Tribolium castaneum: one gene and its partner. The protein of the gene in region 1 binds, or shares a complex with, the protein of each later gene. Links are inferred from orthologs where the notes say so. Each region holds a gene or a part of one and is shown on either strand. Other genes may lie near its edges.

What was found. The genes of interacting proteins can lie anywhere in the genome.
Region 2: the proteins of Polr1B (region 1) and Polr2L are in contact, whole or in part, in a cryo-EM structure (PDB 7OBA), measured with the Homo sapiens proteins. The link is inferred for Tribolium castaneum from reciprocal best matches to the Homo sapiens genes POLR1B and POLR2L. Residues at the interface, in NP_061887.2 of Homo sapiens: Leu16, Leu19, Thr20, Asp21, Pro22, Tyr24, Gly25, Pro27, Ile157, His160, Glu161, Glu162, Ala163, Phe698, Leu701, Thr702, Arg713, Gln715, Thr716, Pro717, Gln718, Ser719, Leu721, Asp733, Asn734, Pro736, Asn740, Ala741, Ile742, Asn760; in NP_066951.1 of Homo sapiens: Met1, Ile2, Pro4, Arg6, Cys7, Phe8, Thr9, Cys10, Gly11, Trp18, Tyr21, Leu22, Leu25, Gln26, Glu31, Gly32, Arg42, Tyr43, Cys44, Arg46, Arg47, Met48, Leu50, Ala51, His52, Val53, Asp54, Leu55, Glu57, Lys58.

What each region holds. Positions count from the first base shown.
Region 1 is NC_087399.1:7,559,533-7,567,414, reverse strand, and holds part of Polr1B (DNA-directed RNA polymerase I subunit RPA2), read left to right. Parts: coding exon 1-2; intron 3-5,142; coding exon 5,143-5,429; intron 5,430-5,479; coding exon 5,480-5,830; intron 5,831-5,884; coding exon 5,885-6,295; intron 6,296-7,128; coding exon 7,129-7,293; intron 7,294-7,882. UniProt on the Homo sapiens protein: Catalytic core component of RNA polymerase I (Pol I), a DNA-dependent RNA polymerase which synthesizes ribosomal RNA precursors using the four ribonucleoside triphosphates as substrates.
Region 2 is NC_087394.1:15,047,816-15,054,315, reverse strand, and holds Polr2L (RNA polymerase II subunit 10), read left to right. Parts: upstream 1-3,806; coding exon 3,807-4,010; downstream 4,011-6,500. Other genes in the region: Sumo (small ubiquitin-related modifier 3), read right to left, coding at 2,923-3,042, 3,129-3,146. UniProt on the Homo sapiens protein: DNA-dependent RNA polymerase catalyzes the transcription of DNA into RNA using the four ribonucleoside triphosphates as substrates.

The sequences.
Region 1 (7,882 bases):
AGGTAGGAGTGGTTAGGGGTTAATTAATTGCAATTAAAAGCATCGGTTGCGTAAATGAAAGTAATTCTGTTTTTGGAAGCCTACAAAATTGTCCAATGTAAAATTATCCAGAGTGGATATGGTAAATAATTTTTTAGATAAAAAATTATAGTTTATTTATGCTTCTGATCGGAAAATAATATATAAATAATATATAATAATATATTATATAATACGTACACTATCGGACAAAAGTAAGGCAACATTTTGAAAAATATAGAAATTAATGTCTATCTAATGTAAATAAATTATGATCGGGCAAACTATGGTATTATTAAAAGAATCAAAGGAAGCTACTGTCTTTAATGTCAAGTAATTATTTATTAAGGTTGAAAAAAACCGCTTTGTTGACTTGTAGTGTAAAAAAGGATTATTTTAAGACGACAAAAGTAAGGCAACATTTAGATTTTTTTCAAAAAATGTTGTTATAATGAAAAATTTGTTAGGCCAATATTAACAGTTCGTTTTGTGCAACAAGAGCCATGCCAACGTATACCAATTGGTAAAGAGTTGAAAGAAAGAGTGATAGATGCTTTCTTAAACAATGAAAAACAAGCGGATATTGCAAGAAGATTTCAACTGCCTAGATACAGCGTGTCTAAAATAATTATTCGCTACAACGAAAGAGGACATTTAAACAATAATCCAAAATCGGGAAGACCACGAAAAACCACTATAAACATGGACAGACGCATTAAAAGAATTTCGGAAAACGATCCATGGAAATCTGCATCTAAAATTATAGCGGAAATACCGGAAGTAGGAGTTAGTACACGAACAATTCAAAGAAGACTGGTTGCAGCAAAGCTTTTTAGTAGACGTCGTGCTAAAAAACCTTTGATTTCCGAAAGAAATAGACGCGCCAGACTTCTATTTGCAAGAGAACATTTGAATTGGACAATGCAAGATTGGAGGAAAGTTCTGTTTAGTGACGAAACTCGATACAAATTATTTAATTCGGATGGAATGAAACGTGTAAGACGGCCAATCAATACATGATTCAACCCCAAGTATGTTACACCCACTGTTAAACATGGTCATGGTAGCGTTTTTCTGTGGGGGTGTTTTTCGTGGAATGGTGTGGGTCCGTTGAGCTTTATTGAGGGTAATATGGATCGGTTCATGTATAGGGACATACTCCAAGATGTAATGCTGCCGTATGTAGAATGGGAAATGCCTCTTCGTTTTATCTTTCAACAAGATAACGACCCCAAACACACTTCTGCATTGGTCAGTGAGTGGATCCAAAATAATAATATTCATGTTTTGCAATGGCCTGCCCAATCACCAGACCTCAACCCAATTGAGAACTTATGGGAAGAGGTAGAGCGACGAATCCGGATACAAAGATTTCCTAACAAGCAATCTTTGATAGATAAAATCAAGGAAGTGTGGTCAAATCTGGATGGCAATGTTATTCAAAAATTAATTTCTTCAATGCCCAGACGGTGCCAAAAAATTATACTTAATAACGGCTATGCCATAAATTATTGAATTTTTCGTTCTATTTATTTAAATTTTAGTGTTGGGTAGTGTTATGGAAATGTTGAATAAAATAAAATTTGAGTTGAAAATATTTTCTGACAATGTTGCCTTACTTTTGTCACATTAATATCGGGCATTTTTATATTTCAAGCTAGTAGTATGTCATAATAATTACCCACAGGCTATCCATTTTCAACACGAATAAGAATATCTTTAAACATTTATTATAAAATTAAATTGAAAGTAAATACCAACTCTTAAAATTTAAAATACCAATATGTGTATATTTTTCAACATTTTGCCTTACTTTTGTCCGATAGTGTATATAATATGTATATAATAATATATAATACATAAATAAATAAAAAATTAAAATAAAATAAAAATAAATATACAGGGTGTCCCACCGAAAAGGGCACCCCCCTCATAACTTTTTTATTTATTAATTAATTTAAACAAAATTTAAATTACACCTTTTAGAACCAAAGGTCCACATTTTAGCGCTACAAGTTTTTTTTTGAACGTATCATTTATGAAATAATTAATTTAAAATTAAGAAAAAAAATTGGAAAATTGTTTAACTGCATATTATTAAAAGAAGCAAGTTTTCATTAACGTATTAGCAAACATCGTTTTACCAGAAGTAATGCAGATTCTTTAAAACCTTTTTTTTAAAATCGCAATGTCACTTTGACATAAAAATGTCGAAAGATATTCAATTCCTTTATTATTCAGATATATATTCCTTCAAGATTATATAAATAATCTAAAAACTATTAAATTTAAATTTTACTTTAGACACTTTATTTACAATTTGCGACATAGAAAAACAGTATACTTCGTTATTTTGCTACCATGTTTGGTATTGAAAAGAATTCTATAAACCTTGGATACTTTTACGGTGAACAATGATCATTTTGCGTTATACACAAAAATACTTTGGATATTTTTATGTTGGATGAAATTACGTTTTTGACTTTTTTACGGTGGACAGAAGTATTGTAGCAACGTTTTCTTTGTACACCATGAAGTTTAACAACAGATAATGGTGTTTAAGATCAGCGAGCCTCACAATAAGATGTTTTGACAAGGGCGACCCGAAAATATTTACGATATCGATCGGTTCGTTGAAAGATTGCAACCTGTCTGCAATAAATCACACAATAAGCTTGCCTGAATAATTAATTAGCTTGAAAGGTCCTTGTGGTTTGGGCTAATCATAATAAAAATCATTTTACTTTGGACAGAAATACTTTGGACTTTTTTACTTTGGACATAATTGGCTCTCCCGTTTTTTAATGAGTTTTCTATTATAAATACTAAATTGAAGAGGTCTCCATTTTTTAATGAAATGGAAAAACTACTTAACTGGTTAGGTATTTTGCTTACAAGGGCAAAAATAATAAAAAAATCTCATCAAGTCCAATTGTTAGGGACAAATCTTCTTTTGAAGGTTTTTGGTTTTATATCTGTTCTTATTTCTTCACATTACATAATTATGTATTCTGTAAAACAGTAAAAAATCTAAGTACAACACATTTCTTCTACTTTTAAAGAATGCATTAAATTTAATTTTGACTTGCATACTTTTGCTGAAAACACAAAAAAAAATAATACGTAATAACGAGTATGTAGTACGCTATTAAATATTTAGCGAATTTTTTCATAGCTCTTTTAAAATAATTTTTAATTATACATCAATGTGCATTTTACACTTTGTATTTTTGTTATTATTAATGTTCTGATTTTGAATTTTTTGAAGTTAGTCACTTGCACTTTGCGTATATTTTAATTACAAAAATCGTAGTTGCCAACAAATTTATTTTTTTTGCTGCCACCTACAAAAACAAAATTAAAATTGATTTTTTTTATTTATTTTTCTATTGTTGTTACACTTTTATTTAGTTCTTAAAACGCTTATTTTACAGGTTTTTATCTTTAGAGTTTTTGTTTATAAGCTTCAAATAACTGTTTTGTTGTAGCTGTCGAATCATTATTATACATTAATTTGCTTCTCTTATTTGCATTTTTTATGTGGCAATGTAATTGTCTTCTTGTGTTTATTTTTATTTTTTTAAATTACCAAATAATTATTCTATTGCTGGCTGATTAGTGATTACTGATCACACCATTTTGCAGTAATTTTTTTTAATTTGGATTAGAGAAAAAGATATAACAGCTACAAGGGAGAGAACAGTAAAAGATGCTCAATAATTTAAAGAATTTTGAATTAAAGTCAAACTTTTTCAGTCTGCGGATTATTTTTTCTTTCACAAACAATTCAGATAGGGATAAAAAGGGTAGATAATCGAAAAGACAATTCATTTATCATCGATTTTTTTTATTTGTGAGCTAGATAAATCATTTGAAATTGGTTGAAATAGTTGGTACAAATTAAATGCACAGTATTTTATTTGAACGATTTATTTTATTTACTGTGCATTTATTATTTTTACTGTGCATTTATTATTTTTTACTGATCAAAATCGAATTTATTACTGATCGCTTTATTTAATTTAATTTAATTTAATTTGTCGATTTTTTAAATTCTTTTAGTTTTTGGTTCATGAATGAGCTAAAATTTCCAGAATTGGCTGAAACCACTGAGTATATGGTGAAACAAAGAAGCAAATAAAGAATAAATATTTGCATATTAAAAACATTGTTTTTTATTTTGTTATACTTTTCTGTTTCTTATTCTTTTTTCTATGTTTACGTTATTATATCTTATTTTCAAAAACTAGTCGGTTTGTTTCGACAAGATCTGTTGGAAGTTATTTTCTGGTGAAAAAAGAGAATTTACTAAAACATTTTTCGGACCTGCTTTCGGGACTTTTTTAGTTTATTTCAGTGCCTAACTAGCCTGAATTTTAAGAGCAATGAAATAAAAAAAATGATCTATTCAAATAATGGTAAGCACAAGGTAAAAAAATACAGAATCGGCATTTTCAATAGTAATTCGAGACAAAAGTACAAAAATTTTAGTGACAATAAAAAAAAATATGGACGTATCCGAATTGCACACCATGGTGAGAAAAACAGGAACCTCTTGACCAGTTGTCCCTTATCGGTAACCGAGCGGTGCATCAAAATTTTATAATTTTATTTATTGAAGGAATAATAAAAAAAATCAGTATATTATCTATCAAACATTATAGGGTAAGTTCGAATAAGATAGATTACATACAAAAGATTGCAATTTGTTTTTCATTTGGTTATTCAAAAAAACTTTTTTCTTTACTGCTCGTTAACTGAATTTTTACATTATGTCGTAACTTAAAAATTTAGTAAATTATTTACAAATGTGAAAATATTCACAAGGAGAGACACTTCCTATCCTTACCTGTGTTTGATTTTGTTGAAAATTGACGGTGGTATTCAACGAAAAAAAAAAACTTTTATCAAAAACTGTTTAGTTCTAATTTTCATTGGGTAAAAAAAGTGTAAAGAGTAAAGTTGTGAAGAATCAAATTTTCTGCTAAAAACTGGAGACCCTATCTCTATTCTCAGCTGTTTTGGTGCTATCCTGTCATTCAGCCACCAGTAAAAAAAATAATTTTTGTTTTAACGTATTTATTAAAAACCGAAGTGTTTTGCAATTTTTCGTGTTTTTTTTAGGTGTTACGACCCACATGGAGCTCTCCAAACTGGCCTTCCTCTCAAACCTAGCCCAACTAATCCCCATGCCCGACTGCAACCAATCACCCCGTAACATGTACCAGTGCCAGATGGGCAAACAAACAATGGGCACTCCTTGCCACAACTGGCGTTCCCAATCCGAAACCAAACTCTACCGCCTCCAAACACCGGCGACTCCCCTTTTCCGACCCGTCCACTACGACAACATCAACCTTGACGACTTCGCCATGGGCACAAACGCCATTGTTGCCGTTATCAGCTACACTGTAAACCCATTAACTTCGGAAAAATCCCCAATTGAACCATCTGTTCCCAGGGCTATGACATGGAAGACGCAATGATAATAAACAAAGCCGCGGACGAGCGTGGTTTTGCCCACGGTTCCATTTACAAAACCGAATTTGTAACACTTGAACACGAGTCTTCGTATTTTTGCCGAAACCCGGAAAAACCGGAACTGGCCGAATTCTTAGACACGGACGGCTTGCCAATCATCGGACGCCGAATGAAAGATGGGGATCCCCTGTACTGTTACTACAGTGTGGACGAGTCGGTGTACAAAGTAACCAAGTTTTCGGGGAAAGAGGAGTGTTTTGTCGACATGGTTAAACTGTGCGCCAGTTTTGAAACGACCAATCGGACGGCGTGTTTCACGTTCAGAGTCCCGGTACTTCCCCCACATTTTTTTTTATTGAGTTCTTGGTAATTATTTTAATTGTAGCGTAACCCGAACGTTGGCGATAAATTCGCAAGTCGGGCAGGACAAAAGGGCATTTGTTCGCAAAAGTGGCCCATGGAGGACTTACCTTTTACGGAGACAGGGCTTGTGCCTGATATTGTCTTCAACCCTCATGGGTTTCCCTCTCGTATGACCATCGCTATGATGATTGAGGTCATGGCTGGGAAATCGGCAGCGCTTCATGGGCTAGTACATGATGCAACTCCCTTTAAATTTACAGAAGAAGACACTGCGATTGATTATTTTGGTCGGTTGTTGGAAGCAGGGGGTTATAATTATTACGGGACTGAGACCATGTATTCGGGGATTGATGGTAGGGAAATGACAGCGCAAATATTTTTCGGGATCGTTCACTACCAGCGCTTGAGACACATGGTTTCGGATAAGTGGCAGGTGATTAAAAAAAAAGTCGGATCACTTTTGTAATATTGGGATATTGGAGATTTTCATTCTGTTGTATTCGGACCAAGTTATGTTACTAAATTTGACAGTTGGCAATGCTTTTACTACTGTCATGAAAATTTGAAGTTTGTCTTTGACATTGTCAAAATTAACGAATTTAAAAGAATTAAGCGTGCAGCAACGAACTAGCCCCCTATTGCTGTTTGTGTAACCCCATCAAATTGGCTGGGGGGCCACCAAGACACTCAGCAACCACTGACAAAGGTTATTTTCAATATTATGACGAGAGAGATTAAATCAATCTGCGGCTCACAAAAAACAATAACTAATTATTTGTCTAAAATAACTTGTAAAGTAGGTTTTACCGGCCTTCTTTTTTGTCCGTTCATATTTTCAATACACAAGTTTATTTGGTGTATTTGATTAGTTGTCCATTAATTTATTTAGATTTCTTATTAAAATGTGTTATATTTGATAGTTTTTGTCATGTTTTGACTGTAAATAATATTGAGTGAAGCAGTTTTATGATTGTCTGAACGTCCCTTTTTAGCGACTTAAAGTGCAAATAATGTACTCAAATATCGGTAAAATGACTAAGCAGTGTTACTTACAAGCAGAAAACTTGACTGACTTAACGTATTTTGTAGGATTTGAACAATTTGACACTGACATATAACGTAACCTGTTTTTGAAAGCCTAAATTCGCGGTAAACTAACTTACAATGCCAAAATTTTCAAGTTTATGCGATTTTGTTTAATATTATTATTATTGTTTTATAATTTTTGTGTTGTATTTTTTATTTTTTTTTTATGGAAATTTGTAGGTGCGTTCAACTGGGCCGACCGATATTTTGACGAGACAGCCCCTCAAAGGGCGGAAACGAGGAGGGGGTGTGCGATTTGGAGAGATGGAACGTGATTCGTTGATCAGTCATGGCGCTTCGTTTTTGTTACAAGATCGCTTATTCCACTGTTCCGATAAAACAACAGTACGTACATAATTATTAATTAATACTTCTAGGTAAAAAAACGTTGCTCGAATAGTGTGAGTTTTTCACCCATCTTAGCTTCATTTTTGACAAATTTTCTCTCTTCTACTGTATGTTTTTCCGAAATTTCGCGAAATAATTGCGTTTCTGGTTGAAAATCGTGTTAAAACGTTTTTGCGCCCAGATTAGTTGGTTTAAAATGTGTTTAAATACTTGAAAAAGGTTGAAAAAACAGCATTATTGATTTAATTTGCTGGTTTTTTGTATTAGTTAAAAATTTTGCGAGATAATTACATTTCTTATTAAAACACGCCCAAAAACTCTGATATACGTTTTGATATAATTTTTACGGTTTTTTCGGTCCTATATCTCAGCGGTTCCCCACCTTTTTCACCTTTCGAACCCCTTCTAACATCCGACAGATATTGTTGAATTATTTATTACGTATTTTTTATATTTTTTGTTTTAAAATTAGGAACAGATTACAGTAAATACTTTCAGCCAATTCATTTGGAGGAATTTTAGTAAAAAAAAAATTGCGTCCAGTATTTGATTTATTTTGAAAAAATGTCACTAATGTTGGCAAAAT
Region 2 (6,500 bases), on another chromosome or scaffold:
AAATAATTCATTAAATGAAGAATTACGGAAATTTCGTTACACTTCGACAAGTAATGCCACCGGAGAGCGTCTAGTTAATTTTATTTTCGAATTCTTATCAGAAAGATTAAGGAATATAATATTAATTAGTTAAATAGTAGTCCTTAGTTTAATAGGTTTTCTTTTGTATTTATTTAAAACGTGAATGAAAAATTTTGAATGGTGTTGTTATACAGGCTGAGCCAATTGCTTTGTTAAAAGTCAGAGATCTAGTGAATGCTTGAATTGGTATTTTTGGTTGCATCTAAGATCATTTCAGAAATAATAATCCACTCTGTATTATAAATTCTGTCAAAACGTCGTTTAGATTTTGTCAATATGACAGTTTTTTGCAGTTTACCAAAGAATTACTGTAATATTTATTTATTACATTATTATTTATATATTTATTTTTAATGCCTGGCAACCTATTTTGATTCAAAATAATTACTGAGGTTCAGCTTCTGGGATTGGTGGATTTCATAGTCCTATTATTCGAACAACGTTCAACATGGATTTTTTTTGTCAACATTTACAGACACCTAATTGTCTACGCCACGTCCCCCTTTTCTCTGGGGAGTGAGTTCTGATACACGTTCTATAAAAACGCCAACATCGCACTTTCTTTCAAAATTAGCAGTTATAAAATATTCATGTACTTCAAAAAAATAATAGCTAATGTGATTTATATTTTCAATGAGAGATCTAATCATTAATAACTATTTCACAATTTTATCAATCTTATTTAAAAAAAATAATTCAGGAAAATGTAACGTTGGCGTTATTATAGTTTTGAAACAGCTAAAACTATTGAAAACAATGAACAAAAATGTCGATTTCCATTTAAAATAATTAAAAATGACGTCATTACTCAGAAACCAGTGATGTCACAAATGTGACTATGATGTAACATTTACAAATATAAAATCGACATGTTCGAGGATGTTTTTTGAAATTTTGTTTGAAAATGACTCCCAACAAAAATATGAATTTTATGCGTTACTTAACTTACTCTAGTTATTCGGAAGTAAAATTACCGTTGGGGGTGCCACTGAGCTAGGTCGAAAGCATTAACCATAAATGGCGGGAAATTTTTTATTCGAATATTTTGAGCGTTGTACGAATTTTGAAACTTCACAATTATTTCATTGTCTATACGGGATGACTATTGTATCTTTGGTGCAAGAAACGAATGTTGACAAATTAGAGATGATGAGGAAAACACGAATAACGAATGACTGCTTGGTTCACTTTTTTATTGGAAAATTATTACAAAGGCATCGAAAAGCCTACCTTTTGACATAATTTACATTTAAATGTCTCAGCAGTTTTTAATCTTAATTGTAGTTTTGTAAATTTACCAATGTATTTCATGATTTTTCCTGTGGAAAAATTCTAATCTAAAATTCACACACTTCACTAATTTATTGGTTTCCTGAGCCCAACTTTGTGTTCGCTGTATCCATTACTTATGGTCTTTAATTTGACAACTTTAATTTGTAATCAAAATTTAAATCTTTTTCACTTTTTATCCACTTTCAAATTCCAAGAATAAACACTTTATACCACGAAAAACCGCAGAACCAAAGTCAAAGCTAGTATTTACCACCACGTACTTTTAAGGTAGTTGGTGCCTAAATTAACATTCTTAAGATTTCTTTTAAATTTTAACAGATTATTGTTCAAAGAATTCCATATCGATGGTGCAAAAATGAAAAAGATTGACCGTCTAGTTTCGGAGACATTGAATTTTGAAAATTGAGTTTTTGACTCTTTTACATTGCGGCATATGGTGAATCAAAATTTTTTTGTACGTTTTTTGGTATAGCTATCAAACCCTTCTTAAGATTTTTTTTAAAAACTAAATCATCATTCAGCAACATCAAATAAGTATTTTAAGGGGAAAAAAACTGGGGGTCACCGTCCAAATTTTGGAGATATTAATTAATAAACGATAAGAAATTTGTAGTAAAAGGGTTACACTAAAATAGAACTGGCAACACAGCGCATCTGTAAAACCGCTAAAAATGAATTTTGAATCAGTTAACAAACAAAACAAATATCCCGACACAGAATTTTTGACTTTGGAGCTATGTTCGGGATAGTTAGGAAGTAAATAGATTAAAAATGGCTGTTCCTACGAGGTGAGCGTGCCACAGGGGCCACCTAGAAGATGTAATTACGGTTTTTTTCGGTTAAATTTCGAAAATAGGACGCGTTTACAGTAAAACCGCTGTAGCTTTTCATCGTTTATCGATGGTTTTAGCCTAATAATTCTTCCTTTGTGATGTAATTATTTGACACATTTGACATTTTCAATCGAAACTCCGACAGTGTTGTCACATTCCACAAATGAGTTATGACTGGCCAGGGCAGTACATTCACAGTAAAAATTTTTGGGTTGGTTACTGTGGATACTATACACTGTGGCACCATATATTCTTTTGGCCTAACTTTTTGCTCCGATTGTAAGGCCCCAACTACCTTAAAGTGATTCTCTCTACTGTAAGTAATTAACACTACACACGCAAAATTGTTAAATTAAAAAATTAAATTAAATATTGAATTACGAAAATTTCGTTACTGTTTTCGACATAGTTCAAAAGTCGTCACCAGAGGGCGTCTAGTTAATTTTATTTCCGAATACAACCAATCACTACGCACAGGAGTGAACAAACATTAACAAATCCTGGTTTAGACATTTAAGAAGTTGAGTTGCAACAAATGTGGCGGTTTCAGACGTCCAAACATGAAAAAAATGCAAATCATGGCACATTAAAGACTTGGAGAAAGGATGCGGCTTTTGATACATTTTAGTAAACACAAGTATGAATCACAATCCATGTTCTTACTCATTTGTCCCAGTAATAAACTAAAGAATCTGAGATAAAGTGTAACACTTACCGCTCTTTCACAATAAGCCCCCATCAGCTTCCTGAGAGGGGTGTGCTTTTTGATCTTGAACTGGACGACAGCATTATCTTGTCCCAGTACTTTCAAGTTGATATGTTCCGTTTCATTGCTCTGCAAAGTCCCAAAAACGTGAGTATCAGTTCAAAATTACGGGAAAAAAACCTCGTTTATGGTTAGGAAAGAAAAGTCATGTTTACCTTCTTTTCGTCACCCATATTTGGCAAATTTGGTTGTGGCTTGTAGGAGGGTCTGGGGCCGAAGTTGATGCACAAATGTAAACGGTTTTAGTGGAATTTGGTGCACTTTTAACCGTTTTATCAACAGACACGCAGCTTGCCGCTAACAAATAATGGCCGGCTTGCTTGCAAAGTAGCGGTAACTGCTCGCCGGAAGTGACTACGCGGTTAGTCAAAGTCGGCTTTAGCTGTTCAAACTTCACACTTCCGCTTGAAACATTTGTAGAAATTTACCACTTCACGTTGACAAAACGTGCTTGAAACAACGCGGTAAATTAATACAAAAAATTAGGCTTTGTTTTCAATATAACTTTCACATGTTTTCTGCGATTTTTTAATAATTTAATCAAGAAATTAATCCTTATTTGTTATTGCCGTCGACAGATGGCAGGCCACAAGCTTCAATTGATCAGGAGCACCAATATTCCAGAAGTGAAGAACCCAGAAATTCACGAAATTAGAAATCAAAAAGCTTCTAGAAAAGCGCAGTTAAAGCTTTTTGAAAGTAATCTAATTTAAAGTCTAAATACCAACGCAACAAATTTTGATTAAGCGAGAGTGTGAGGTACAGAATTTGGTTAATTTTTGATGTGTCAGTGAAAAATTAGGTTATATTTTTTCAGGTTTTGTCGAGACAAGATGATTATACCGGTTCGTTGTTTTACTTGTGGGAAAGTTATTGGAAATAAATGGGAGGCTTATCTTGGGCTTTTGCAAGCTGAATATACGGAAGGAGATGCTTTGGATGCTTTGGGTTTGAAGAGGTACTGTTGCAGAAGAATGCTTCTTGGACACGTCGATCTTATTGAAAAGTTATTGAATTATGCTCCTTTAGAGAAGTAATCTGTAGTAGTAAGTCTGTTAAGTAAGTGTAGGTGTAAGTTTAATTTTATGGCATGTAAAAAGGCGCGTTTTTGAATAAATTTTACTATTATGCCTTGTCTTTCATAAACCAGCATTTTTGCAACATCCTATTTAGTTTTTCCTACTTCACGAGTTCACGGTAACTTTTTTGTTTATTTTTATAAAGTTATTCAAAAAAATTGCATTATCTTTGTTAATTCAACCATGTCTAGAGGGTCAAGAAAGTGTCGATATGGTGATAAGGGATGTCCAGTAAAGTTTAGAAATGAAGTCAGATCTTTTCCCAAGCAACTTGATTTTTTTATCATTCTTGTATTTGTTTTCTTTAGCAACCATTTTAATTGTTGTTTTGTTTCCAGTGATTAATAATATTAATATGATTAATATTAAATTATTTATTGTATAATTTGCTAATTTAAGTGTTTGTAACACCATAAGACAATAATTGTTGGTGATTTTTTTAAAAGATACAGGGTGACTCAGGGGTGCGGTCTGTAACTTTTTTGTTACTTGAAATTTTGCCATGTTTTCGTTTTCATTATTCTATAGATAGACTTAAAGTCCACAAACTATCTTTTTTTTATTATACACAGGGTGTTGTATACATCCTGGTTTACTAGAGTTATATTTTTTGAAATGAAACACCCCATACATTTTCACATAATTATATTCTATGCAAAAAGTAATGTAACTTTAAATAAACTATTATGGGTTTATCTCTTTTCGTTTTAAAATTATTCAACTTCTCGTTATGAAAAAGACCATCTTTAGAAAAATCACTGCGAAGTCGCTTATGAATATTTTCCGATAAATTTGCAACAGAATAAGTCAGAATATCCCGTAATTTTAATAATAGTCGACTTTTACTTGAAACACGCAGGTAATGTACATGGTGTGCCAGAACGCAAAAAGTTGAATAACATTTTTTTTTTCAAATGGAACACTATCTATTTCTTTACACTATCCAATGATATGCGATTTGTACAACAAATTAGAAATATCTCTTATTTTTTTTCTTCATTTCATTTATGTTTCAAGTAATAATTAAATTATTAATGTAAATAGTCACATTGGTACATGTCAAAAAATAAATTACAATTTGACTTATCACATTGTAGAATAACAAATTTCCTTGTAATAAAATATTTTTTTGAAAAATCTCGAAAAACGTTTTAAATTTGCTATGCAAATCCTTCCATTTGAAAAAAAAGAGTTATTCAACTTTTTGCGTTTTGGCACACCCTGTACATGGTTTGCGTGTTTCACGTAAAAGTCGACTATTTGCTGAAACTGTAAAAAAATCTGTGGAATAAAAAAGATTGTATAAATAACTGAAAAATTAAAAACCATCCACTTCAAAATCACGAAATTTTAGAAACTCGTGTGTGTAAAGACAATAATTTTTCTAACCAAAACCAAAAAATCTTACTATCATCATAAATTGGATAATATGTATAAATTTCATTTTTAGTTATAGTTTTTCAAGATTTCCAGCTTCATATTTTTCTAGGTTTTGATTTTTTAAGATATACAGGGGTGGTCCAGCCCAGCACCCGTCTTCTGCAGCTCAGTTACTATTAAAGTTGTTTCTATTTTTTAATGATTTTTAAAACTAAAGGTGTAAAACCGTGTTTTTTTAATTTGTATTTTTTTAACAGTAATCTCCTAACCGATTTGAAAAAAATAGAGACATGTAAGAAGCTAAAAAAATATCATAATGAGCACAAAAAATAATAGGATGCCATAAAAAAATTATTATTATGATGTCATACTTTTTGAGGACACTATATAGTTAATATATTTTCCTGAAATGTGTCCTAGAGTATAAATAAGTAATATCTACAAAATATCAAAACTCCAACTTTAATAATAACTGAGCTACAGGAGACGGGAACTGGGCTGGATCATCCTGTATTCAATTTTAAACTTTTACCTTTAATTTGGTTAATTTTTTGCGAAATAGTAACGTTTTGAATGAAAGACAAATTTACTTAGAAAAATTTCACGCTTGAAAATCCAATTGATTGCCATTGTAAAATTAGATTGGTGTAAGAATAACGGTTTAAATGGAAAAACAGCATACACTCTCTAAACTAATAACAGCAATAACTATGAGTAAGTCATTCAAAGAGGCTGGTTAAATAAGTTAATTTTGGGTCTAGTTAAAAATTAAATAAAAAGAAGATACTGTGATTTAGCTTGTGACAGCTGAGTTAATTGTAAACTGTGAAGCACAAACTAACTATCCTTCCTTGAGGTTCGAGTGCGGTTATTTGTGTTAAAAGAAACAAAAATGATAATTTTTGTATTTATTTATTATTCAAACAATAAACCTGTACAGAACAAATTTCATAATGGACAGCACTGTAAGTGTGATGTAACGTAAAATCATTTGGAAACTGATTCAAACAGAGAAAATCAGATCAAATTGAGTCGTGATTCTTACGTACGGACGTGCGATTAAAATAG